Linked DNA regions of Rattus norvegicus. The protein of the gene in region 5 interacts with the protein of the main gene of each other region in a pairwise test. Links are inferred from orthologs where the notes say so. Each region holds a gene or a part of one and is shown on either strand. Other genes may lie near its edges. The genes, in order: Gli1, Zbtb9, Meox2, Cep76, Pin1, Jakmip2 and Ccdc33.

What was found.
Region 1: the proteins of Pin1 (region 5) and Gli1 interact in binary tests that used the Homo sapiens proteins (3 or more experiments, as listed by UniProt). The link is inferred for Rattus norvegicus from reciprocal best matches to the Homo sapiens genes PIN1 and GLI1.
Region 2: the proteins of Pin1 (region 5) and Zbtb9 interact in binary tests that used the Homo sapiens proteins (3 or more experiments, as listed by UniProt). The two-hybrid records come from large-scale screens. The link is inferred for Rattus norvegicus from reciprocal best matches to the Homo sapiens genes PIN1 and ZBTB9.
Region 3: the proteins of Pin1 (region 5) and Meox2 interact in binary tests that used the Homo sapiens proteins (3 or more experiments, as listed by UniProt). The two-hybrid records come from large-scale screens. The link is inferred for Rattus norvegicus from reciprocal best matches to the Homo sapiens genes PIN1 and MEOX2.
Region 4: the proteins of Pin1 (region 5) and Cep76 interact in binary tests that used the Homo sapiens proteins (3 or more experiments, as listed by UniProt). The two-hybrid records come from large-scale screens. The link is inferred for Rattus norvegicus from reciprocal best matches to the Homo sapiens genes PIN1 and CEP76.
Region 6: the proteins of Pin1 (region 5) and Jakmip2 interact in binary tests that used the Homo sapiens proteins (3 or more experiments, as listed by UniProt). The two-hybrid records come from large-scale screens. The link is inferred for Rattus norvegicus from reciprocal best matches to the Homo sapiens genes PIN1 and JAKMIP2.
Region 7: the proteins of Pin1 (region 5) and Ccdc33 interact in a two-hybrid assay, tested with the Homo sapiens proteins (2 studies listed by BioGRID). The two-hybrid records come from large-scale screens. The link is inferred for Rattus norvegicus from reciprocal best matches to the Homo sapiens genes PIN1 and CCDC33.

The regions. Positions count from the first base shown.
Region 1 is NC_086025.1:65,045,073-65,048,407, reverse strand, and holds part of Gli1 (zinc finger protein GLI1), read left to right. Parts: intron 1-1,496; coding exon 1,497-1,661; intron 1,662-2,124; coding exon 2,125-2,355; intron 2,356-3,270; coding exon 3,271-3,335. UniProt on the Homo sapiens protein: Acts as a transcriptional activator. Binds to the DNA consensus sequence 5'-GACCACCCA-3'. Regulates the transcription of specific genes during normal development.
Region 2 is NC_086038.1:5,058,132-5,062,115, forward strand, and holds the start of Zbtb9 (zinc finger and BTB domain-containing protein 9), read left to right. Parts: upstream 1-1,184; 5' UTR 1,185-1,320; exon of another isoform or gene 1,321-1,421; intron 1,422-1,564; 5' UTR 1,565-1,603; coding exon 1,604-3,001; 3' UTR 3,002-3,984. UniProt on the Homo sapiens protein: May be involved in transcriptional regulation.
Region 3 is NC_086024.1:59,632,525-59,636,024, reverse strand, and holds part of Meox2 (homeobox protein MOX-2), read right to left. Parts: intron 2,344-3,500; coding exon 2,171-2,343; intron 1-2,170. UniProt on the Homo sapiens protein: Mesodermal transcription factor that plays a key role in somitogenesis and somitogenesis and limb muscle differentiation. Required during limb development for normal appendicular muscle formation and for the normal regulation of myogenic genes.
Region 4 is NC_086036.1:63,475,559-63,479,515, forward strand, and holds the start of Cep76 (centrosomal protein of 76 kDa), read right to left. Parts: upstream 2,801-3,957; 5' UTR 2,640-2,800; coding exon 2,577-2,639; intron 2,173-2,576; exon of another isoform or gene 2,047-2,172; intron 1,576-2,046; coding exon 1,420-1,575; intron 365-1,419; exon of another isoform or gene 142-364; coding exon of another isoform or gene 109-141; intron 1-108. Other genes in the region: Psmg2 (proteasome assembly chaperone 2), read left to right, coding at 3,132-3,188. UniProt on the Homo sapiens protein: Centrosomal protein involved in regulation of centriole duplication. Required to limit centriole duplication to once per cell cycle by preventing centriole reduplication.
Region 5 is NC_086026.1:27,464,258-27,468,441, reverse strand, and holds the start of Pin1 (peptidyl-prolyl cis-trans isomerase NIMA-interacting 1), read right to left. Parts: upstream 2,801-4,184; 5' UTR 2,795-2,800; coding exon 2,737-2,794; intron 1-2,736. UniProt on the Homo sapiens protein: Peptidyl-prolyl cis/trans isomerase (PPIase) that binds to and isomerizes specific phosphorylated Ser/Thr-Pro (pSer/Thr-Pro) motifs.
Region 6 is NC_086036.1:35,995,883-36,000,007, forward strand, and holds the start of Jakmip2 (janus kinase and microtubule-interacting protein 2), read right to left. Parts: upstream 2,801-4,125; 5' UTR 2,673-2,800; coding exon of another isoform or gene 2,670-2,672; intron 1-2,669.
Region 7 is NC_086026.1:67,406,986-67,410,485, forward strand, and holds part of Ccdc33 (coiled-coil domain-containing protein 33), read right to left. Parts: intron 491-3,500; coding exon 327-490; intron 1-326.

The DNA.
Region 1 (3,335 bases), on a different chromosome or scaffold from region 5:
TTATGGGGGCGGGGGCTTGCTTTCCAAGGTGTGTACGTGGAGGTCAGAGGATCACTTGCAGGACTTAGCTATCTCCTTACACAGTGTAGGTCCTAGGGATCAAACGCAGGCTGTCAGGCTTGGCCCTAGCACTTGTGAAGCTGAGGCAGGAAGATCAAGAGTTTGAAGCTAAAAAAAAAAGAGTTTGAAGCTAGGTTTCAAAACAAAAACAGTGGTTAAGAGCATTGTCTTCTCTTCCAGAGGTCCTGAGTTCAATTCCCAGCAGCAACTCCATGGTAGCTCATTACCCTGTGGTCTGATGCCCTCTTCTGGCATGTAGATGACGATGCAGATAGAGTACTCGTAGACAAAAACAATCGAATCTTTAAAAACAAAACAAATAACCAAACAAACGCAAAACAAGACAGGCCTGGTGGCACACACCCTGAATCTCAGTACTTAGGAGGCAAAGGCCGGCAGGTCTTTGTGAATCTAAGGCCAGTCTGCTCTACATGATGAGGTCCAGGCTAGCCATGGTGGGTGACACAGTGAGACCGGATCTCATAAGTAAATAAGCAACAAAACAAAATAAAATTTTGGATCAAAAAGCATATTTTCCCTTTGATATGGATTTACTTATTTATTTATTTGGTTTTCAAGACAGGGTCTCTCCATGTAGCCCTGGCTGTCCTGGAACTTGCTGTGTAGAACAAGGAGGCTTTGAACTCAAGAGAACTGTCTGTCTCTGCCTCCCAAGCACTAGGATCAAAGGCGTGCACCACCACTGCCCAGCCCCCTTTAATTTTAAAAGAAATGAAAACATGTGCCGGGCACTGTGCTGCACATCTTTAATCCCAGCACTTGGAAAGCAGAGGCAAGCATATCTCAGTGAGTTTGAGGCTAACCTGGTCTACCTAGTGAGTTCAAGGCTAGCAAAACTACACAGTGAGACCCTGTCTCACAAAATAATAGGGGCTAGAGAGTTGGCTCAGTGACTAAGAGCACTGACTGCTCTTCCAGAGAGGTCCTGAGTTCAATTCCCAGCAACCACATGGTGGCTCACAACCATGTATAATGGGATCCAATGTCCTTTTCTGGTGTGTCTGAAAACAGCTACAGCATAGTCACATACACAAAATAATAATAATAATAATAATAATAATAATAATAATAATAATAATAAACATTTTTAATCACCTAGTGCTCATGTTACTTCGTTGCCTAGTGGATAGGTCCTGCACTAATGACAGACACTTGTGTAAGCCTGGCCCCCAGATGACCCCACTCTTGGACCATCTAATCCCTGTGCAGGGTGACCTGCTCCAAGATGCTCACTACTTTCACAGCCGTCCCTCACCCTGTGCTGTTTCCAGTTTTTTCTGCTTTTAGCTCCTGTCTGTCCTTGTGCCCTAATCCTGGGATTCTCCAAGGTCCCCATCCATTTATATTCCCTGGTTTAAATCCTTAACCCTCCATGCCCTGTCTGAGAACACCCTTGGCCTCTTCACATCCCACAGTTTGAAGGCTGTCGGAAGTCCTATTCACGCCTCGAAAACCTGAAGACACACCTTCGGTCGCACACCGGTGAGAAGCCTTATATGTGTGAGCAGGAAGGCTGCAGCAAGGCCTTCAGCAACGCCAGTGACCGTGCCAAGCACCAGAATAGGACCCACTCCAATGAGGTGAGAGCTCAAACTGAGATATACTCCCCGATCCGATACTTTTGGCTACTGCCAAAGTATCCCCCATAAAGAGCCCCTTTAACCCAGGGCTCTCTCCACAGAGGTAAGAAACCAGTTCCCACTTGCCACACTAACCGGCAAAAGAGTCAGTCTAAAGTAGACCCCGACCCCTTCCCTTCAGCTTCTGAATTTACATGGCCTCACAGCCTTGAGGGTCACTTCTATTTGTTTACCTAAGCCTCCTATAAGCCTCTCGGGATTTCCTCCACCTGAGGGCCCCCCACCCCCTTACTTCCTAGGATGCTGTGTGTCCGCCCTCACTAGTCTCAGAGCTCCCACCTCCTTACTTCCTGGGATTGTGTGTCCCCCTCACTCACCTGCCTCGGAGCTTTCTTTCCCCCGTTCTGTTTGGGTTCATCTGCTTTGGTCCATTGGCCTTCCAGCTTGGCTCTCTATTCAACAGAAGCCATATGTGTGCAAACTCCCCGGCTGCACCAAGCGCTACACAGATCCCAGCTCGCTCCGCAAACATGTCAAGACTGTGCACGGTCCGGATGCCCACGTGACCAAACGACATCGAGGGGATGGCCCCTTACCACGGGCACAGCCCCTCTCCACAGTGGAGCCCAAGCGAGAAAGGGAAGGAGGATCCGGCAGGGAAGAGAGCAGACTGACTGTGCCGGAGGGCACCATGGTGAGCCAGCCATTGGAAGCCTTTGCTCTGCTCTGCTGTTGTCTTTCTAGCCCTTCCCTAGAAGCGAAGCATCTATCTCTTCCTGTACACATCAGTCTTCTGTGGCCACCCCAACCTGCCTGCCTCCAGTTTCAGTGTTGCTCCGTGGGTGACTCCAAATCTGAAGCTGTTATAGTCATCAATTGTTTAATTGGTCCAACATATTGTCGGGGAGGTGCTTCTGGGGATACAAACCAGGCAAATGGTCTACACTAAGTAAATCTTCAGGCCCCTATGGACCTGCTCTCAGATAACACTTTGTAGTTCCAAGCTTTTGGCGTGCACATTTTGTGTACTTTAAAAAAAATATTTTATTTATTTATTTTAAGTATGTGAGTACACTGTAGCTGTCTTCAGACACACCAGAAGAGGGCATTACAGATGGTTGTGAGCCACCATGTGGTTGCTGGGAATTGAACTCAGGTGCTCTTAACTGCTGAGGCGTCTCTCCAGCCCCCCTATTTTGTGTATTTTTTAAAAGGATGTATTTATTTATTTATTGTATGTGAAAACAATGTCACTGTCTTCCGACACACCAGAAGAGGACATTGGATCCCATTACAGATGGTTGTGAGCCACCATGTGGTTGCTGGGGATTGAAGAGCAAACCACTAAGCTATCTCTCCAGCCCCCTATTTTGTATATTCTTAACAAGAGGAAGCAGGCAAGGAGAAATTTGTCAGGCTTGTAGGACTACTCAGGAATGGAGCCTCTATGCTCCAGTGGGGTCATCTTAGTTCCTTCTAGTTTACCCTAACCTCTTGCCCTCACCCCCACGCCCACGCCTGTTCTCAGCAATCACTGGGCTTCAGCCATTCACCAAGAGAGAATTCTTGGGGGCGCTTGCCACCCTCTCTGTTCTCATTCTCCTCACAGCCTCAGCAGAGCCCTGGAGCACAATCCTCCTGCAGCAGTGACCACTCCCCAGCAGGCAGCGCGGC
Region 2 (3,984 bases), on a different chromosome or scaffold from region 5:
CTCCTCTGCTTCCCTACATCAGGCCTTACCCTTGGACCTCCTCCCTCCTCTTTGGCTGTTGTAATTATCTGGGGTTTGTACTGTACATAATTGGGGTGGGGGGCTGGGAGGCGACCCCTCTGTACAGAGCTTCCTGGCTCCCTAGCCCCACCCCTCATTTCCTTCCCCACCCACCACCTTAAGAGTAGGGAGAAGATCTTCTTACTCATTTTTTTTGCTGTTTGTTTACTCGTTCTCCTTTCTGCTCCTGCTCCCAGACTCTTGGTCCCCACCCCCATCCCCCCACACCCCCTCTTTTCTCCCACTCCCGGGTCCATTTCCCTTTTTTTTTCTGGAGTGTGTGGTGAAACAGAAAAATCATGTTTAATAAACGGAGATTGTTCTTTTATCGCTGGGCTGACTTTTATTTTTGGTTTTTCAAGACAGGGTCTCTGTGTGGTTCTGGGCTGTCTTGGAACTCACTCTGTAGACCAGGGTGGCCTTGAACTAGCAAGATCCGCCTGCCTCTGCCTCCTGGGACTAAAAAAGCGTCTGTCGCGGGGGGGGGGGCTGATTTTTTAGCCTGGGGTCTCCAGAACCACCTGAAGGCTGACAGGGACTACTTTGGGGGAGAAAAAGTAAAACAAAATCATGTCTTCTTCCACTACACACTGCTCGAGTCAGGAAAACTATATACGGCAGGGCCTTTCTGGTGAAACTCCTACCCCCGTTCTCTACCCGCCGGACACTCGACCCAAAGGCGCTGAGGCTGGGAACCGGCTTTTAACGCCCGAAAGACTCCAAGTGCAAAACCCTCTCGACATAGGGTTTAATTGTGAGGACGCTTGTCTGCGAAATGGAGGAAAGAACCCGGGGTGCTCAGCATGTGTGCGCTCCAGACTTCTGACCTGGCTGCCCCACGTGCACGCGGAGGACAGCCGCATCTCCTACCTCGCGCGGCAAGAGTCGGGGGGATACACACACCGCGCTGCGGAGCCAGTCACTCCCCTCACCCCAGAACCCGCAGAACCACCCTCCTCATCGGCCGCTCATCCCGGAAAACATTCGCCGCCGCTCCAGCAGCCCGCCCGCCCAAAGCCCCGCCCCTCCGACTGACCAGCCAATGAGGAGAGGTCTTGTAGGCCGCCGCTCTCCCATTGGCTGCAAACCAGGTCCGGCCCTCCGCGCCTGGCTGCAGTGGCGTCCGGCGGAACTGCGGCAGCTTCCGGCCGGCCAGGCGCAGTGGATGCGAGGAGCTCCGACGCGGTCGTGCGTGCGGTGGGGGCGTGTCGGTGGGAAGTCGTGGGGCCGGAGCTCGCGGAGCCGGCCTGTCCGAGCAAGGTGAGGAGGGGCGAGCGGCGGCGGAGGGCGACTGAGCCAGCGAGGCGGGGCGCCATCCCTTCCCTACTTGGCTTCCGCTGGGCCTGGAAGTGAAAACCCTGGTTAGTGTTTTGCTGGGTTTCTTGGTGGGCGGAACTAATACACAGAAACTTGTCACTGAAGAGTTTTCAAGTGTCGGTGGGGAGCGGCTTGAGGCAGGTCTCATACCCCGAACTTGTGTGACCCTAGTCTCTTTCCTCTGCAGTCTTCATCCACGGGTTTTATTTCTCCCTCCGAGGTAGCCATGGATGCTTCGACTCCTTTGCCTCCCGCACCCTCTTCTCCGAGGTGTAACCCAGCCCCACAGACAATCCACATTGATTTCCCTCATCATAGCTCTTCGCTGCTGGAATCCCTGAACCGCCATAGGCTGGAGGGAAAGTTCTGTGATGTATCCCTCCTGGTTCAGGGCAGGGAACTGAGGGCTCACAAAGCAGTGTTGGCTGCTGCCTCTCCTTACTTCCATGACAAGCTGCTATTGGGGGATGCGCCCCGACTCACTTTACCGAATGTCATCGAGGCAGATGCGTTCGAGGGACTGCTTCAGCTCATCTATTCAGGAAGCCTCCACCTGCCATTGGATGCTCTTCCTGCCCATCTCCTCGTGGCCAGTGGCCTTCAGATGTGGCAGGTAGTAGATCGGTGCTCAGAGATTCTTCGAGAGCTAGAAACGTCCAGTGGAATTTCATCTGGTGGAGGAGCCTCCAGCCTCACACTTCTTTCCACAACATCTGCAGGAGGCTGGTGCATTCGCTCTTCCCCTTTCCAGAACCCAGGGCGGTCCTCCGCTTCCACAGAGAATTCTGCTGCCCCTGAGAGCCCCAGTGGAGGGGAGGGGGGTGAACTAGAAGGAATGTTACAGATTCAGGTCAAAGTAGAGGAGGAAGAGGAGCAGAGGTCAGCAGCCCCACCCTTTCAGACCCCTCAGCCTGAGAGAGTGTCAGGAGCGGTTTCCCAGGCTTGCGGATCCCACCCGTTGCCTACATCGACTCTTCCCAGCAAACCTTCAGAGGATGAGAACTCAACACTTGATCCTCCTGCCCCTCCCGTACAAACTTCCCAAATCTTATACGTTAACCAGGAAAACGTCGAGTGTAAGGAGGAGACATCAGGAGGCAGGACTCTGTCTGGAGGAGCAAAGGAAAAGACCAAAGTACTGCCTGGAGAGAACTCTGAGGAAAATGGGGAGCTAAGATACTTGCTGTCCTCAGGAGGAGGGGAGACGTCTGGGGCAGGAGACCCATCCTGGAAACCAGTGGATCTCCATGGGAATGAAATCTTGTCAGGGGGCGGAGGACCCGGAGGAACAGGGCAGGCTATGCACGGGCCTGTGAAGCTAGGAGGGACACCCCCTGCAGATGGAAAGTGCTTTGCTTGCTTGTGTGGAAAACGGTTTGCAGTCAAGCCGAAACGAGACCGACACATCATGTTGACCTTCAGCCTTCGTCCCTTCGGCTGCGGCATCTGTAATAAACGCTTCAAGCTGAAGCATCATCTGACAGAGCACATGAAGACCCACGCCAGAGCTCTGCACGCGTGTCCCCATTGTGGCCGCCGGTTCCGGGTCCAGGCTTTCTTCCTTCGACACCGGGACTTATGCAAGGGCCAGGGCTGGCCCACTTACCACTGGACTTACAAATGACTACCGATGCTCTGTAGTGATTTCTAGGACAAGATAGCCACTGCTGCTGACGGACTTACCTTCCACCACCTCAGTCCTGGATCGTGTGGTCCTTCCAAGAGATTATATATGTCATGTTGTGAACCCCTTACTCTTGGGGATGGGCCTCACCCTGGTATATTTGGAAGTCCTGTAGGAAGGTCATGCTTCTGATCACTCAACCGGAATGGCCCTTTTTGTATTGATAGCCAGTGAAGGAACTGCTGACCTCAGGTTATATTAGCAAGAGAAGAGATGGAGCAAAATGACCCAGTAACTCTATCCTCATCTTCATGAGGAGGTGAGGGAGCTGGTCTCCAACTAGGAAAACATTTGATTCAGAGCTCAAGTAATTGTCAGACTCAGCTCTGAGCGGCCTCTGCCTCACTGTCAACGGTATCCCGACTCTGTACTTTCTGTCATTTCTTTCCAGAAGCTTTTTAAAGTTGTACTTTTCTTTTCTCACCAGGAGACACCTTTCCCAAATATCCTTTTAAAAATGACTGGAGAGGTGGCTCGGGCACTGACTGCTCTTCCAGAGGTCCTGAGTTCAAATCCCAGTAGCCGCATGGTGGCTCACAACCATCTGTAATGGGATCTGACGCCCTCTTCTGGCCTGCAGGCGTACATGCAGACAGAGCATTCATACATTAAAAAAAAAAAGTACTTGAACATGAAGCAAGTGTCCTGCACACATTTAATCACAGCACATGGGAGGCAGAGGCAGGTGGATCTCTTCAAGTTCAAGGCCAGCCAGGGCTGCGCTCGGCGAGACCCTATCTTGAGGGGGATAAATAGTACTCGAGCACTTTAGCAAACTGAGCATTTCACAGGTTACTCTGAAAGCCCATCGCAGAGGGTCCTCCCTCAGAGGCCTTCACCTTGTCTTTCACTACCACTAATCACAATGACAGATGTGACCCAGGAACTCAAGAGGTGGCAGCTGGCCTACAGCGCTCCCAGGG
Region 3 (3,500 bases), on a different chromosome or scaffold from region 5:
AAGGATGGCTTTGAATAGGAGACACTGGTAAATATGGGATAAACAGAAGCTTAAGGAACCCTTACAGGATGAAGTTTCTTCTCATTGTTTTCCTGGGAGCATTTGTGCCACTCTGAAGAACCCTGGGTTAGCTGATTAGAAGAACAACTGTCTCAGAATAGCTTCAGGCAGTATTTAGCACTGGATCAAAGACTGCAGTTCCGGGATGGGTATAAGGAATGCTGGGAAAACCATTCAAAAACCTAAATACACAAACTTGTAAATAAACTTGGGGCTGTTTGTGAATTTGCATTAATATTTGAGATAGTTTATTACACTGAAAAAGCAGGCTGACTTGAAATTAAAGTGATATCGGAAAAATATGATTTTAAAATAGGACACATACATAGTTGTTGCATATAACTCAATACATCAAGTCAGTTAGGAAAAAAGAACAATTATTGAAAATACCTTCCACATTTCTGTTAGTTTACAGAACCTCTTTTAAAATTAGTTTGCTCTTAGACAAGTATGGTTTTCTCTGACCAGACTGTAAAAGATGATAGGCCATCACTATGAATAAGCAGAGAGCTTTGCTTTTGCTCTTGGCGAGAGCTCAGTACTATATCCATCATTGTGTAGACGGGATGTCAACCCGAGTTTCCAATTTTCTAAAACATGGGGGTCTTTCCTGGAATCCATGGTTTCTACACAAACTAATGTGTAATTTTGCCCCTTCTTTAATTTTCTGTTCCCAGATGAACACATAAAAGGAAATCAGCTCCCTGAGGATATAGATTTGGATTCTGCTTCCTGAAGTGCCAAATGCTACACTCACAGAGGAAACTTTGTGTGCGCTTCAGGCAAAGAAACTGTCGTACTCCAGAGCTCAGGACCCAGCCATAATATTTAATAAAATATGAACTGCCAATAAATAAAACCACATAAAATCTTCCCTTTGTATATTTTCTCTAACCACAAATAACCCACAGAAGCTGAAATGTAAAAATTAGCAGAAAGGAAGAATATGATTTAAGAAATTAGATAAAATTACTTGCTATCGTAAGGCATGCAGTCATTTGTCCACACCCTGTTGGTATTTTCCTGGACTCAGTGGGACCTCTGGAGGAGGAATGTACAGGGAGAGAGGAAGTAAAACTCTTGCCCTAATAGCGCCTGGTATCATTTCACTGTTCCTAAAGATGTTTGCATTTGCCTTTCGGGGATGTTACTCTAACTAGCCAGACTGTTAACCATCTGCAGGCTGCATTCTCCCAGGGTAAACATGCATTTATACAGGGGCTACTCCCTGAGTGCTCACAGAGCAAGTTATTTTCCATCCAAATAAAACCCAGTAAAGGCATCTATCTATAAAGCAATTTATCTCATTTTGTTCTTGTTAATTGAACACATGGATCATTACTGCTCAAGGTATTCTTTGAGTCGATAGTAGACTATTGAATTCCTAGAAAAAGAGCATCTTTTTAAAGTATTTTGATTAATAGAGAGTATTTTCTAATGATCTATGTATTTTTGCTGCCAACCACTACCCTGCCTTTTGAGCATATGGTACAACCCTGACTATTTCAAAATGAGTGAGAGTAAATGGAGAGGTTGGAGTCATTTCCAGATGAACACATTTCAAAGTCAGGGACCTGCCAATCCTTTATCACCTCCTGTGGTTAGCAACAGCACCGCGTGCCGAGAATCCAAGGTCAGCGAGCTCTGGATTTGTAAAACTTGTGTAGAAAATAAACCATCAAGAGTTGTTTGGGTACTTTTTTATGCTATTTAGTTTTAAAGGTTAATGTTCTATTGCAACAGGACATGGCCTATCCTGACCTGTACAGACAACCAACCTTTTATGACACCAAATGAGGAGCGCTTAAATATAAACACAGGAAGTAGTTCACCATTTGCCCACATTATTTAAAACAAACCGTGTTTTTAAAGTAAACAGAGTAATATCAACATCAGAGAGCATTCCTTTTTAAAACTCAGCAAATGCACCTTTCATTCAAATATCTTTTTAAATTGTTTCTTCATTTAGCTGATCAAAGGTTTAATCATTGAATAATAAAGACTTCTAATTGGTATTAGTAAATCATAAATCTGGATAATTCAAACGGTAAAAGAAAATTGCTGAGCTATAGTGAAATAAAAATCCATGCAATGAAGACACCCACTTTACCTGTCTTTCAGTGAGGTCTAGGTTCACCGCTATCTCATATCTTCTCAGTCTGGTCAGATAGTTATGATGGGCGAACTCTGCCTCAAGTTCTCTGATTTGCTCTTTGGTGAAAGCTGTTCTTTCCTTCCTAGGTTTGCTGTTCACTTCTGACTTGTAATTTCCTTCCTGGGAATCTGGGGGGAAAGTGCAAAAAGTGTTAACACAGTTGTGCAAACGTCTGGAAACATACTATTTACAGTTACTGAATAACTACTTCTCCAAGTGCTTTGCCAGACATGACCAACAGTGAACAAAGCCAGTAAAACAGATCTCTCTCTCTCTCTCTCTCTCTCTCTCTCTCTCTCTCTCTCTCTCACACACACACACACACACACACACACACACACACACACACACACAGAGAGAGAGAGAGACACACATCTCCACAGAGTGAGATAGGTCTCTCTTCTTTCTCCCTATCTCTCTTTCATTCAAATATCATACATTAAATTTTGTCATTTTGTTGAACAAAAGTTTAATCATCAAATAGCAGACACTTCTAATTGGTATTTACATATATATATATATATATGTGTGTACATATATATATATACATATATATATATATACACACACGCACTTTCTGGTAACTCATTACATAATTGGAAAAGTTCTTCAAACATTTATAAAATATGAACATAATTTGAAATTCTAAAATGGTACTGTGATAATAAAATAAACCAAATCATCATCAGAAAACCATTGTAGAAATAAAATGGAAACCCACTAGAGAGGACATTTTAAGGTAAATAATTCTGGGTTGACCCTTGCTCAAATCTAAGCTGACCAGATGTGTCTTTATCAGATCAGCAGCCGTAGCAATGGGCTCTCACCAACATCTTGGCCCGTTAGGTACTCCCTTTACTATAATAGGTCATTTAGTAGCTTTCCCTGGCTGGTCATTACTTCTGACCACTTCTTCAAGTTGTCACTTTCCATATTGGCTGCGATTTCCCTCTAAGCTGGTCAAGGAGGAGTTTTCAATCCAGGTCAAAGAATGTTTTGTGACACATTACTCTTTAGGATGCCACTGGAAGTAAATGAACTTATAACAGTTGGCAGTTCATTGGTAGGCCTATGGACATGATGTTAACATACCTGGCTCCAAGTAGAAACTAGAGTTCACCAAACACTTGTTTTTAACCCACATATTTTGTCAGTAGCCACACTGTTGTAACTTTGAGCTCTTCTGGGATAATCTAAATAAAATTTCCAAGTAACCAACTTTTCACCCTATGGGCTATTCTGGCAGGCCACAAAGTCACATCATGGAATGTTTAGCTTTGAAGTC
Region 4 (3,957 bases), on a different chromosome or scaffold from region 5:
TAAAACATGTAGACCAGACTGGCCTTGAACTCAGAGAGCTCTGCCTATCTCTGCCTCCTGAGTGCTGGAACGGGATGCCAAGCCTGCCTTTAAAAAACAAATCGATACCTTAAATAAGGCTAAACTTCTTTTAAACCCCATAGAGCATTTGTGTGAGCACAGTGGCACATGTCTTCACTTCCAGCACTTGGGAGGCAGAGGCAGATGGATCTGTGAGTTTAAGGCCAGTCTTGGCACACAGTGAGCTCTAGGACAGCCAGCATAATAAGAGTACTGCTGCTGTCTTCTGACACACTTGTGATGCCAGAAGAGCATCAGATCCCATTACAGATGGTTGTGAGTCACCATGTGGCTGCTGGGAATTGAACTCAGGACCTCTGGAAGGGCAGTCAGTGCTCTTAATTGCTGAGCCATCTCTCCAGCCCGCCATGAACTGATTTTTAAAAAGTAACATTTATGCAGCAGAGGCTGTTAATAGGTCAGTTTTTAATAACAAATAGGTTTGCAAACCTCAAAACCCAAAAAAGGATAGTGTATTAAAGTACCCAACTCTCTGGAGTATTATGAAGTCCATTCTATTTTTAGTAGAATATTACTCTTATATTGAGGTCACAGTTTTTCATTATTGCCTCATTTTCAAAATAAGGCCTGCCTACTTAGTGCACTGGGAGATATCCCATTACTGACCTATTTGTACAGAGAAATGAGGGGTTTTATGTCGCCAGCTCTTTTCTTACGGAATTTCATGAGTGTATCTGTTTTAAAACAGACCTAACCTAAATAAATTAGAGATCGAAGGAATCTGACACATCTGACAGAAGTTTCTGTCACGTCAGAGAAATACTGTCCAACAACTCCTATCTTATGATCTCTGTTAGCCAACTCACGGTGGGGCCAACTTAAACACTCAGAAAAGGAGCCAGGCATTGACTGTGGACACATGCCTTAGTCCCAGCACTCGGGAGGCAGACAACAGGAGATCTCTGTGAATTTGAGGCCATCCTTGGTCTATAAAATGAGTTTCAGGCCAGCCAGAGCTACACTGAGAAAACCTGTCTCAAAAAAAACCAAAAGCACCAGAGGGCAGAACATTATGGAGACGGCAGAGATGACTCAGCAATTTAGAGCACTCGTTTGCTCTTCCAGAGGACCTGAGATCAGTTCCCCCAATATCTTGATGGTGGCTCATTCCAGTTCCAGAGGATCACAGGCCACCCTGAACACTGTGGGCACCAGACCAGCATGTAGCCAAAACAGCCATACACATCAAGTCTTCTTAAAAATCTAAGAAAAATGGCTATTACCAGAGAATGAACTTAAGGTGGTTTTAAGAGAAGCCACAAGTGTGGACCCTGTAAATTGTTAGACAGAGGCAAATATTTTACACTTTCAATTTGTTTAACCTAGGAAATTACTCACAGTCACAAAATTAAGCTCTTTCATTACATCATCAATGATTCCTCGACGTCTGAGAGCTTTGATCAGATCTTCTGTTGATAAATGTTGTTGGTCAGGTGCTAATTCTTCTCGTATAGTCTCGGCAAGAATTTCTCTTATTCTGCCATGGACATCCATCTGTGGAGAAAACCCCACATTACAATTTACAAAATTATACCTGGTGGTGATGGTGCATGCCTTTATTTCTAGCACCCGGGAGGCAGAGACAGGTGGATCTCTGGAGTTCCAGGCCAACCTGGTCTATAGAGTTCCAGGACAGCCAGAAAAACTACACAAAGAAACCCTGTCTCAAAAAACAAAACAAAACAAAAAACCCAACAACAACAACAACAAAAAAAAACCGCACAAAAACAATTTACAACATTATAAAGCAGTTAAACGCCACTTGTAGATTTTAGGCTTCTGAAACTAATGGCAAGTGCCCAATGCCAATAAAATTGAGCTTTTTAAGTGGTGGAAGTTTTGAGCAACATACTAGAAACAATCTGAACTGGTTGGTTATCAACCTTTATTGCTGGTTGCCCGCAAATGATTCAATGAAAACAATTCTTAAGAGAGGGAGTGGAGGACAATCAAAAGAACACAGACCTAGAAGGAGGCAGAACAAAGAGCGAGTTATTTCAGCCTTCTCACTTATTCAACTTGCAACTCTAATTTGTCCGTCTATCTCCTTGCCCATCCGATGGAAAAGCGAGATTGTTTTGAGGATTCGCCAAAAGACGCTAGAGACGCAAACACCGGCGCACCAACACACCATAAAGAAGCTTTATTACTTCAGCTTACGGCCAGCAGTCGGGCGCTGCTGCTGGGAAGTCGCGGTTCTCCTGAAAGCCCCGAGCCGGGTAAACGCGTTCCTTGTCAGTCATTGGAGCGCCCTGTCTCCCATAACTTACTGCGATCGGGCTTCCAGGCGTAAAGAAACCCTAAACATCTGGCCTCGGACTACTTGTACATGAACATCTGGAAAGCGCCCGGACCGCCTCCGGTTTACAGCGGCTCTCCTCCACTCTAGCTAAAGAGCCTTCAGCGCTCCCTCGGGTCACACGCCCAACCGAAGCTTGCCCGCCGGCGCCCGCTCCACAGCCCTGGCTCCGGTCCCGTCCGCCCGAGCTCCTCACCTTGCTCAGCTGCTGGTGGATGAGCTGCTTCAGCTCAGAGGCTTTCTCCGGAGGCAGCGACATGCCGGCACTGGCGCCTCCCGGCCGCTACTCTCCGTCTCACACGGTGCAGCCACGGAGCCCGTCGTCCCGGCCGCGCAGCATCGGTGGCGGGCGTAGCACAAAGCGCCGCGGCCGCGTCAGACCTGGCAGGGCGGGAACCCTGCAGCCGCGGCGCCACAACTAACTGTCTTCAAACCGGGCGGACTGACAGTCGCCGGGGCTGGCCTGCCAGCTGCCTGATCGACGCGGTCCAACGCGCCGCCTCCTCGCGGGTCCCGCACGCGCGGTTCCCACGTCCTCTGTCGCAGGGCCTCGACCTACGACCCCGGGGAACGCCGCCTGCCGAGCGTTCGAGCCTCGTTCAGCACTGAGCGCAGGCAGTGCGTCGGACGCCTACAGGACCCGAAGGACCCGAAGGACCCGGGCGGATCGCGAGTTCCGCCTTCTATCCTAAGGATAGGTATCCTAGCTGTCCCGGACAGCGCTCCAGCTTCTCTTACGCCCACTGCAGTCATGTTCGTTCCCTGCGGGGAGTCGGTCCCCGACCTAAAGAACTTCACACTCCTGATGGTGAGTCTCCACTTGAGTTGGCGCTGTCGCCACCCCGACCCGGGAAGCGCCACCTGGCCTTAGGAGAGCCGGGCACGTGTTTCTGCTTCAGGCTTTAAGCCTGAAAAAAACAAACCAACAAACAAGTTGGTTATCCTTAGAGGCGGCGGTCCAAATTAGCACATTTGTCCGCTCTATCAAGGCCTGCCTGCTAGCTGAAGCCTTCGTTGCCTGGCAACTGTAACGTTTGTACATTGCAGATACATTGCACATAAGTGGCACCGGGGGAATCCCTAAGTTTTATCCGTTGAAGTGTTTTTATGTAGTTTGGGTCCGTGTTGATCTAGGCAATCAATTGCATTAGAGAGCAGATCGTTGTCTAAAAGGCAGTAGTAGAATTGTCCTTGTTTAGTCATCAAGGTTTACAATATAGCTAGAAACACGTGCATATACTAAGAGCATTAAATAAGACAGAAGTTTGAAAAAGAGAACGACCTGAGATTACCGACCTGCGGAAGTCTGGGTGGGAGTGGTTTGACCAAGATTGTATTCCCAGCATTCCAATCGTGAGGCAGGAAGCCCCAGCCTGAAAGACACCTATCCCCGCAAGAAATAAACAAATCAACAAGAACAACAAAGCTTGAGGGGAGGGGGCTAAAGAAATGGCTCCGTAATTAGAGCCTGTGTGGCTTACAGAGGATAGAATTCTTACATACTCACAATGAATGGCTTATAACTCCAGGTCCAGGGTCCCTGACACCCATTCTGGCCAAAGAGAATATCTGAACCC
Region 5 (4,184 bases):
CAAAAGGTAGAGTATAACTGTTTTTACCCATTGCTTCGTTCCACAAAAACCCAGGCAGCACCTCCCCCTCCTCTGCTCACAGCAGCAGCAGTTGTGTCTTGTGCATAAACAGAGAAAGTTACTCCAAAGCTCCAGTCTTTTTTTTTTTTTTTTTTTTTTTTTGGTTCTTTTTTTTCGGAGCTGGGGACCGAACCCAGGGCCTTGTGCTTCCTAGGTAAGCGCTCTACCACTGAGCTAAATCCCCAGCCCTCAAAGCTCCAGTCTTAACCCCTGCACTGGTAGCCTAAGTCAGAGAGCAAGGGGTAGCATTACTCAGGGCCTGATGTCATCTGAGTGGCTGTGAGGGCATAAAGGAGACAGATGGAAAATCAAAACCTCAAGGGAAAACTCTGGCTTAGTGGAACATGCTGTTTGCCTAGCACTAGGGAGGCTGAGGCAAGAGGATGGATGTCTGCAGATTGAAGCCAGTAAAAGTAAGTTTGCAAGACGGACTCAAAAAAGTGAAAGGTAAAAGAGGAGGAAGGGGTATGGCAGAAGCCTGAAGGAAGGACCCAGTAGATTCTGGGTCACTCCAAGGGCTGAGTCTACCTGGGTTACACAGCTGATCTAGCATAGGAGAAGAGCTGGATGTTACCCATGAAGGAAGGGCTTTTCATAGTCCTACTGAGAACAAATGACAAGCATAACTAAGCAGAGGGGCAGGTATAGGGGTGTGTGTGTGTAAAAGAGTTTCACTATGGGGGCTGGATAGATGGCCCGGAGATTAACAGCACCATCTGCTCCTCTATTGGACTGGAGTTCAATTTCCAGTACCCATGTGGAGGCTCACAACTGTCTCTTCAGGCTTCTTGGTGGGCACTGCATGCATATGGAATACACATGCAAGCCTAATACCCATACATGTATTTTTTAAAAAAGTGTACGTAGCCCAGGACAACCATGAACCAGATCTCCTCCTGCTTCTGCCTAAGTGCTGGAAATACAGCTGTGTGCCACCACACCCAGTTAGAGACAAGTTTATGCTAGAGGTCACAACCCCACCCTAGGAATGGAGCAGCCCAAAGCCTCTGGGGATAAATCCAACTAAAACCTTTGTCAGGTCACCTTCCCTGAACCTCAGCTTTCTCATCTGTAGACTGGGACAAGAGAATAAGGACATCAGAGCATAAAGGCTTATAACTTTAGTCCCAGTGCGTGAGAGGCTGAAGCACAAGGATCATGAGTTGGAAGCAAGCTTGGGCTACACAGCAAGACTTTACCTCTGTGTGATGTAATCCCAGCAGAACACCAGAGGTTCAAGGTCATCCTTGGATAAGTATCGTCTGAGCGCTCATGCTCGCTCTTGCGCACTCTTTCTTTCTTTCTTTCTCTCTCTCTCTCTCTCTCTCTCTCTCTCTCTCTCTCTCTCTCTCTCTCTCACACACACACAAACACACACATCTTAGAAAGGAAAATGGCTCAATGGGTAAGTGCTTGCAGCCAAATCTGACGGAGTTCACAATCTACTCATGGTAGAAGGAAGAAAACTCTTGCAAGTTAAGATTGTCTGACCTTCACATGCACATACATTAAATACAGTATTACTAATATTATTAGTAAAGATTGTTTCAATAAATAAATTGGGCAAAGTGGTGCATGCCTGTAATCTCAGCACTTGGGGGAGCTGAAGCAGGGGGATCAGGAATTCAAGAGTAACCTGTCTTTATGAGGCTCTGTCTAATGCCTTTCCACATCCACTCTTGATAAAAAGGTGGAAAGTGAATGACATTAAACCTAGCTGGGTTCAGAGAGTTAACATATGCAGTGTCCAGAACCTTGATGCTTAATAACTAAGAATTTTGAGTGAGCTCTGTAGGTTGCATTGACCCTGGCTACCTGAAATGCTTGTAGGCTACTCTAGGCGTTGCCACTGACACTGGGAAGGGGACATTTGAGATCAAAAAAAAAAAAAAATCATTGCAATCTAGGGCATTCCCAGTGACTGAACTGCATTATCAGATGAGTTCTTTCCATGTCTGGCCTCAGTTTCTCCCTCTTGAAATATGAGAGCAATTCCTTTCTTGAAAGATGGTAGCAACCGGGGTGTGGGGGGGAGGAGAGCATGAACCAAGAAAAGAGAGGGAGCGAGGGAGGAGGGAGAGGGAGATGGAGGAACAGAGGTGGAGGTGGGGATAGGAGGAAGAGGAAGAGTGGAGAGGTGGGTGGGAGAGAGAGGGAGGGGTGGAAGGAGAGAGTGAGAGAAGGCAGGAGGGAGAGGGGGAGGGGAAGCGGGAGCACACACCGGCGTAGACTTGTAAAAGAACTGAAGTCTTTCAAAGAGTTTGGCACCATGCTTGACCCAGAGACGAACTGTCCTGGTTAGGAGCCATCACTGTCCCTGGGTCCCGATAGGGGGATGAGCGGGCACGTGTCTCGGATGCTGCCCGAGAAACCAGAGCAGGGCGGCCCACGCCCTCTGCACCGAATCCCGATCTTCCTCTCAAGGGAACTCCGAGGTGCAGACTCGTCGCCTCAGAGCACCGGGGCCCAGTGGTGGGCGAGAACCGGGGCGCGCCTGTGCCTGCCCCACCTCCTACCTCAGTATCTGGCTTTCCGGGCCCGTTATGCCGCGGAGGAGGCCAGATCTCCATGCCCGAAGCAGGACGGTGATGCGACTCGCCTGTGCAGGCGAGCTCAAGCCCAACTTCCGCAACCTCCAGGCCTCGCCCCGGGCCCTGGGCGACCCCTAAGAGGTACCTGAGCTGCGACTCATACGCTTCTCCCACCCGGACGGCAGCTTCTCCTCGTCCGCCATCTTCCCTCCTGCCGCAGCGCCTGCTCCGCCTCCGCGGCTCTGACCCCGCGCCAGACCAGCGCCGCTGTTGATTGGCTCATCCAATCGAGACGCCAATTGGACGGCAGCACAACGCCTCGAGCTCTCGAGCCTTTTATTGGGCTCTCCCGCGGCCTCCTGGACCACCCCTACACACACCCTCCACCCACTACCCTCACCTTCCCAACACCGCTACTGATTGGCTCGTCTGGAAGCTACGTCTATTGGATGCTCCAACCCGGCAAGCGGCTCCCTTTAAGCGTCAAAAGGGCGCTCCACCCTTTTTGGTGCGCTTAGCCGATAAAATAGTGCTTATTTGACTGGCTCCTGCGGCAGCCAATCCGGCCTTCTCAAGCCTTTCTCGGAGGTCCGCCAGAATCCACGCGGAAGTGGCCAGCTGGAACTAAGGTACATGGGTGCTTTTGCTGTACTTTGCCGTTGCCATAGCAATGCAGTTGCCTTGGTGACAAAAGGCTAACTATTCAGAGCCTAAATTTGGCTTTTGAGTTCTTCTTCCCACCTTTTCCTCCAGATGTCCAAAGCGAAACCAGTCCTTTTCGGTTTTTGCAAGGCGAACCATTTCACTGGTTTATTCACCCACTTTCCATGTCTTTTTTAGAACCTACTTCGACTTATTCCTTCTCCATGGGCTCCTCCTGACTTCTAGGCAGGTGACTGATGGGTGAGAGCATTACCACTAGACCGAGGAAAGGGGGTAGGAGAGGGTGGGCGGCTCCAACGACCGGTTTTAGTCAACTGGTAGTCTGAGGAAAACGGTGTGTTAATGTATACCTTCAATCCTAGTACTCAGGAGGCAAAGGCAGGCAGTTCTGAGTTCGAGACCAGCCTGCTCTACAAAGTGAATTTCAGCACAGCTAAGGCTACACAGGAAACTTGTCTCAACAAACGAATGAACGAATCAAAAAAAAAAAAAAAAAAAAAAGACAGCTAGAGAGATGGCTCAGTGGTTAAAGCACTAGCTGCCCTTCCATTAGACCTTTCAATTCACCAGACCTGCATGTGGTACACATTCATACATACATGCAGGCAATTCATATATATAAGAATTTTAAAATGTTACTTTATGCCTAGTGCTGGTGGCAAACGCCTTTAATCCTACACTTAGGAGGCAGAGGCAATCAGATCTCTGAGCTTGAGGCCAGCCTGGTGTACAAAGTGAGTTCCAGGACAGCCAGAGCTACACAGAGAATCCCTGTTTCAAGAATTTTTAAAAAATCACTTTAAAAAACTATTACATTTATAAGGGATACCGCCATGAAAGCTGTGTAATCAAGAGGACAATTTGTGGCAATCTGTTCTCTCCTTCCACCATGGGGTTCTGAAGGTCAAACTAAAGTTGTCAGGCTTGGTG
Region 6 (4,125 bases), on a different chromosome or scaffold from region 5:
GCAAATCAAGCAAATCCCTGCATCCTGTTAAGACTCCATAAATAAATTTTCCAGATATATCATCAATCACCTTCTTCAAGAGTACCCAGATTTGATCATTAGAAGCACATTACAAAATGGAGTCTATATGCACAAATATCAAAGTATCCAATGCTAACAGTTAATCTGAACCCTTCAAAGGATAGCTGACCCCAGTAAGTTAGCCGTGCTTTAGGAAGACACATAGTCCATCCCAGACAAGAGCATATCCAGATCATAACCTAGTAGCCTTTAATGGTGTGCATGACTACCCACACCACTTACTTGTAAGACTTTCTATGCTTTGTATATTCAACCTTAATTCTTTCTGTGAAGCTGAAGCCCATTGATCACATTCCAGGTTCCACAAAGTAGCAATTGCCAGTGTCCTACTTGAAAGCAGAATCTTATGTGAAGAAAGTGGCACTTATATCTCAATTTCCTCTCCTCCAGATTACATAGTTCTGGTTCATTTGTCATTCTACAGCATCTGGACCTATAATTGGATGGGACTACCAACACTGAGTTTCCTAACCATGACCTATTGTGATGAGCCTCACTTCAATCTGTAACAACTTTGCCCATAAAACCACATCCAAATTCAGCAGACAGCAAGTAAATCAAAGGGCAAGGGTACCTGCTTTCCATTTATGAACAGGTCCAGCTTTGTATTGCATATTTCATTTTTGTAAGTTTACTGTAGAAATATTTGAACTTTTGTTTTAGGAAATATGAAGTTCCATTTAGTAATACACTCTGAAATCTGTATACTACGGTATACATCCATTTTGCAGTGACATACAAGTCCAGTACCTACTTCCTTGACCTAATTTATAGAGTTGTTATAATTAGGCACATGGTGGCAAGAATTTAGACTTGTGAATAGACATAATACATGAGCATATTAAATTAAGTCGCTTAAGCATCTGTAAACCAAATAAATCTCAGAAAACAGAACTAAGATCCAATGAGGTAAATTTTATAAATATGTAATATAAAATGAAAGATTAATATGAAAATAATCTATAATTTTAGACTTAAAATACATCCTCGATAGCAGTGATGGTGGGAAGGTTGGTAGACACAGTTCACGTATTTGATGCTTGTAATATTGCTAATACATTTTTACCTGAAAGGATTTTTCTGGCTTTAGTTCAATGAAATCCATTATCCTAGGTGGTAATGGAACCTTATACATTCCAATCTCAGGCATCTTTAGTCTCTTGAGCTGCCTTAAAGCCTTAGCATAGTAAAAGGTCAAACAGATACCAGTAAGCATTTATAAACTACAAGCCTGTTTCAGCTACAAGCCACATCCTCCTGCCAAGCTTGCTTGCTTGCCTTCCTTTGCTTGCTCTCGCTCATTGCATTGTATGAGCAGACTAATTCAGTCTGGGGTCCTTGAGAACACTTTTTTTTTCTTTTTTTAAAAAACCATCCTGCTTCCTACTTAATCACTTAGAGAAGCTACCCAAGAACAGAACATTCTGAGAGGGCTATAAAATGGTGATGGACACTGAAGGAATGAAGAACAAATATCTATACAATTAAGTAAAATGAATGCCTCTCACCTGCCACTCCAGCTGTACTGGTTGGAGCACACCATACAGATATGGAAGAGATAGACTAGAATTTCAAGAAAACCTATCTGTTTCAACATTTATTTGAGACGATGCAATATGCTAGAAAATACTCCAAGCCACCTCCCTTTCCCATCATTGTAAATTTGGGGCCCTTAACGTAGGCCCACAAACCCAATTAAAAACAGCCAGGCTATGAATTGGCATCTAGTTCTTTAATAGAGAAGCGATAGGCATCTGTCCTAATTGGCTACAATGAACCTAAGGGACAATAACAAGAATAAATTTCACATTAATCCAAATGAAGCCAATGAATAATAATACAAACCAGAAGTCTGTTTCCTAAAACATGCAATTACTTCCAAGAATGCAAAGGCATCAATAACTCATAAAAATGATAGTAAATCAAGCACGCTGGGCATAGAAATAGGTTCCGTAAATGCAACACACCTGCAAAATAGCATGTGCACATATGATGTGTATACATGGAGATATGTATGTTCATAATTAAATATATATCCTGAAAAATCAACTCTGGATCTCGGAAATGGCTTTTCAACAAGAATATGTTAAAGTGTGAAACAGAATGCCTAATTCTGGGACCACGTTAAGACTAGAGCAAATAAGTAAAACCACCTTATAATTAGGCCAACAAGGTTGAGACACCAAATGTGTTATTCAGGGAAGGCCCAACCCTGTTTGCGAGACCTGCAAATGAAACGATTGCTTTCAACTATATCCTCTTCTTGCTTGCTCCTTTCCACCCCTCTGATTTTGTTGCTAAGCTTGAGAGGAAAGGAATCCGGCGGTTCAGTTAGTATTTCTAGCTAGTTTGTGATAAAAATCAAAACATCATTTCTTTTCCCCTCAAAAGACTAGCGGATTCCTTCTCACTTCTCTGCCGACAGACAACCTTCCTCTCTCTCCATCCTCATCGCTGTTTCCACACCCCCATCCCCCCTCCTAGTCTGAGAGACGCGAGTCATTGTTTAAGTCTAGGCCACAGATATATACAAAAGTCATTTAACAGCCAGCTAGATCAAGAAGGTAGCCCCTCTGCCTCCTACTCACCATGTTGAGAGCAGGAGAAGATGCTGAAAAGAGGGAGAGCCGCACACTGAATCCATTTTTCTTGTGACCGGGTCGGATGCAGCCTCTGAACCCAACATCAGCAGCGGCTACCAGGATTTTTTTCCCCCTCCCTCTCCGGTTGGCGATGGTGCGATAGGAACCACCCTTCCCAGCTCCACTAGAGTACCAGCAGTAGAGGCGGCAACAGCAGCAGCATCACTTGAGCCTCCTCCCTCTTGGAGGATGGTGTGAGCTCAGAATCAGCCAGGAACTTGCAGCAGACACCTCCTCAGGCTCCTCCTTCCCTCCCCACCCCCACAGCCCCACCCCTGCTGCGGTAGAAGCAGCCGGCCTGGCAGCTGCTGGTTGTCATGGCAATAGCCAATTGCAAGTGGCAAGCTAAGGGGGAGGGGAGAGGAGCTAAGCAAGCTGCAGGGGTTGGAGTAAAACTAAGTCCCTGTCTCTGAGATGCTCTTGGTCTCTCCTAATCTAAGCTCTAGGTGGCTTTGAGCGGCGCCGAAGGTGAAAAGGCACCAGGAAAGAACAGTTAAAGTTGCATCTAAGTTATAGGTTGAAATATATTTGACATTTATTTGTACTGTTTATAGATTTTAGATAAAATATATTGCACTTGGAAGAAATAAACTAAAAATAATTATGTGTGAGATTGTTTTGACTCCAAAGTTGTACATCCTTGATACCATCTCTTGCTCAGTGCCACATTTAATTTAAAACAAACAAACAAAGCAAAACCTGCTGGACTTTGCAATATACTTGGTGCCTGCTACGTTCCTTTACGTTCTAAGATGATTTGATTCCACCAATTTTGCAAGTTGTCTCCTGAAAAGCACCTGGCGATATTGACCACACCTCTGAGGAAAAAGAAGTTGGAACAAAACAAACCGGAAATGCCTATGAACAACTACGGTTCTTAGCAGCACTAGACAGTGGACAGTTCCAAACCTATCCGGCTTCAGACTCCTGGAACGAGAATTATTCACAAGCAATTCCATGCGTGCTGTTTTCATGGATGCCCTTTTGGAGTTCCAGAGCCAGCTGTCATTCAGGGATGTAGGTAGGAGAAAATCTAGAGAATGTGCAGTGTGGAGTTCTGTTTCTAGTCATAAATTATAGATGGCATTAGAATTTGTCTCGGGCAGTAGTTGTAAAGATTGATTGAGATAATGCACTAAAAGCCCTTGGCATGTAGTAAGCACACAGTAAGTATTTACTATTATTAGCGAGAGTTGTAGAGAGGTACACTGTAGACATCACTTAACCTAAAAGCTTTAAGGGAAGGATATAACAATTCCAGGTAGAAGAGAAAATACTAAATGCATGATAGTTGTCATGGCTGGTGATGGTAGTGGCCGTAGTGGCCAAATGGCGAGTATTCTAAAAAGTTTCATGTTTTCTAAATTTGAAAATTGAAAACATTGTAAATCTTAGAGAATAC
Region 7 (3,500 bases), about 40 Mb from region 5:
CTTCACCAATTCTTCTGAGTGCTGTTTCTCTTTCTAACTATCTGTCCCTAGTTGCTCCCCCACCCTCTGGGGACAGACTTCAAATGCCCAGGCTGGTAACATTCCCCTAGACCATCCCCATCCCACACTGAACACAGCCTAGGCACTACAGACAAGGGCTTGCCCCTGTGAGGTCAGGCGGAGCTCAGTCCTGGCATGGGTTACCACACAGCCAGGGACAAGACAGGTCTCTCATTTGCACAGGAGCTCACTTTCCAAATATTCATCAGATGGTTTCTGTTTGCAGACCCAGACCCAGTCCTACCTCAGTTTTCCCAGCTACTTACACCACCACGTAGGGCCACGGTTCAGAGCTATCCTTGCAGGTAGGAAGGTTGGTAGCTCCATACAGAGTGACCATGACAGTCTCCTTATTACAGGGAGCCAGGTAGTTGGTGTCAGGATATGGGTCCAGAGAGGTATCCAGGCGGTCCTGTGGTTCTTCAGGAACCTGTGGGGAAAGCCAGGGCTAAGTGGACTCTTTTGATGGAGTATTTCTCTTTACTGTTACTGGTAACTTCTACCAGGTGGGTCAAAACTTTCCATGGTATAATTTACAAAACAAAACAGAAATCATGAAGAAATTTCATAAAAACTGGTGTGGTGGTGCACACCAGCCCTCAAGAGGCAGGAGCATTGGAAGGACCAGAAGTTCAGGGTCATCTTTGGCTCCTCCGGTTTGAGGCCAGCCTGGGCTACACGAGACCTTGTTACAAAACTACAGACGTGTCAGTGAGTTAGCTCAACCTTTGCTGTGTGAGCCTGATGGCGAGAATTGGATTGTGGGAACCCATGGTGGGAAGTTAATACTTCTAAAAATGTTTTCTCTGGTCTCCACACGCACGCCGTGGCACGCACGCTCTTGCACTCACCCACACGTATACAATAATAGTAAATAAAATAAAAATGATATGATTGGAAAATACAAGGTTTACATTTCAGATAAGCCTATGACTTTGTGTTTAGCTGTGTTCACAGACAGTCTTGCCTGCAGGAGTCTGGATGTGGCCCAGGGCTAGTGGCTGGATAGGCCCGACTGACCAGTACCTTTTCCTCTCTGTAACATTACCTGCTCCCCCAACTACAGAACAGTAGCCTAGGAAGCCATTTTCTCTCTACTTCTGTACTTCTCTCTACCTCTTGCTTCTTCCTTAGCCTTTGGTGTGCCCCCGTGTGCAGCAGAAGTCAGCCCACCTTAGTTTGTAAGCAATCTGTCTGTCCTCCGGTTTCTGCTCCTGCTTTTACCTCTGTAACTCCTCCGTGCCACATGCTCCTCAGGTCCTAGTGACCTCTACCTTTCTTCTTTCCTATATCTTTACCTTAGACCACCTCTGTCATCTCACATATGGGGACTGGGACCTGACATGATGCACCACTCTGCCCCGCCCTCCTGACTCCTAGCATGGGAAGAGAAGGCAGCATGGCTTAGCCCAGGTACATCTAGGAATGCTACTTCATTCAGATTCTCAGGACCATTGTACTGCATGGTGAGCGCAGCAGAAGCCAGGCTCCCTTAATCGTCCTAGCAGCCCTTCCCCACCTCAGCCTTTGTCTGGTATTTTCATCACCTGGGCAGAAATTTCCAAAAGATTTCAAACTCCACATCCCCTGACCCATCCCTCACGTGCTGCAGACTGTGGTCCCTGCCTAACAAGTTGTCTCATTAGGAGGTGAGAACAGGGCTTCCCAGCCCTAGATGTGCCAGCTCTGTAGAGACTTCTCCCCTTCCTATGACTGAGGATTAAACCTGCTCCCTCCCCCAACAGGACCCAGCAGGGCCTGTCACCATCTGCAGAGGTGTTGATGAGAGTTAACTCCCCCCCCCACACACACACATGGCAAGGGTAGGGGGAAGGGAGGGGGGAGCCCTGCTAGTGGAGGAGGGGAGCATTCACAGACCAATGCCTCTCCTAGATCAGAGGACTTCTTCTAGTGTACTAGCCCACATAACCAGAGGTCGCCTAGCAGGTTTGTTTTCCTGTTCTGGTACAGGAGTGACAGCAGCTGACAAGCCAGGAGGCTCCTCTGTCCCTTCTGAGATGCGCCGGCACAGAGCCGTTTCCCTGCACTCCGGTGGGAGCATCTAGAATGATTTCTGATTCAGCTTTTCCAGGACTTGGTGTGACTAAAGTTCTCTGAAGTTAGACTAGGAGAGGTAACTGATGTCCCTTGTACTGCCAGATGGACACCCTTGCCACTGCGAGGGCGCAAGCCTACCGTGGCACTCTAGGGGGGGCGGGGGTTACAGAAGCGAAGGTCCCTTAGCATGATCGTTGTCTATGGGCTTCCCTGCCTCCTTGGCAGCTCTGGAGGCCACCAGGCCTCTGCCAGGTCCTCCGATTGGATCTCTTCCTTCCCCGTCTCCTCCCTTTCAGGACAGATTTCCAGGAAACATAGCTTGGAGAGAGTTGGGTAGGGACACTTGTGCTTCACTTGTGTGCTTGAGGCCAGCTGTTAGTCAGGTACCTCTTGAAGCCTGTAGGCATGTACCCCATGGATGTACTGGGTGGGGGTCCAAGGTGTGGGTTGTAGAGGGGACAGGCAGTGAGCCAGGGCACCTTTGCCTCTGTCCTTGCTCGTGGGTCCCTGCATCAGGACCAATGTGTTCTGCTGCCTCTGCCCCTGGTCACATGGAAGAATTTGTGAAGGAATAGGATATGTATCTACCGATGCCGACACCTATACCTACGTATACTAGGTTACAAGGTGAGGAGAGGAGCTGGGGCTGGACAGATGGCTCAGTGGTTAAGAGCACTGACTGCTCTTCCAGAAGTCCTGAGTTCAATTCCCAGCAACCACATGGTGGCTCACAACCATCTGTAATGGGATCTGATGCCCTCTTCTGGTGTGCATGAAAGCGGCAGCTACAGTGTACTCACATACATACAATAAATAAATCTTAACACAACAACAACAACAACAGCAACAACAACAGCAACAACAACAACAACAACAACAAAACAGAAAACAAGGTGAGGAGAAAACTGAGTGAAGGTGCTGACCCTGGGCAGAGAAGCTTCAGAATCTTCTTCCATGAAAGCAGAGCTCTATGCTCACCACAGCTCTCAGGCCCTGCTCTTGCTCACCCATGCAATGACTGTAGACAGCAGGCTAGTGGTAAGCTCAAAGCCTGCCCATTTCCAAGCAGAGTTCCTTTGGCCACCCCTTAGGATTTGGGCTCTAGGCAGGCTTGAAAACTGCTGATCTCAGCGCATCATGGTGTCCTTGGGAATCCCAGAATGTTCTTTGCTTGGGTCAGCATTGGATGTGTGAGGGAGCATGAGAGCAGGAAGGGAGGAGCAGCAGACAAGCCAAGGCTCACAGAGGTGGGGGTGGAGAGGGAGGTACAGGGAGTGGGCTTCTGGCAGAGACCAGGATGAAACCAGACTCTTCTCCCATTCTATTCCCTCTTCCCAGAAACCCGGGAAGCAACAGGAAGCTATGAAGCCCAGATCTCTCCT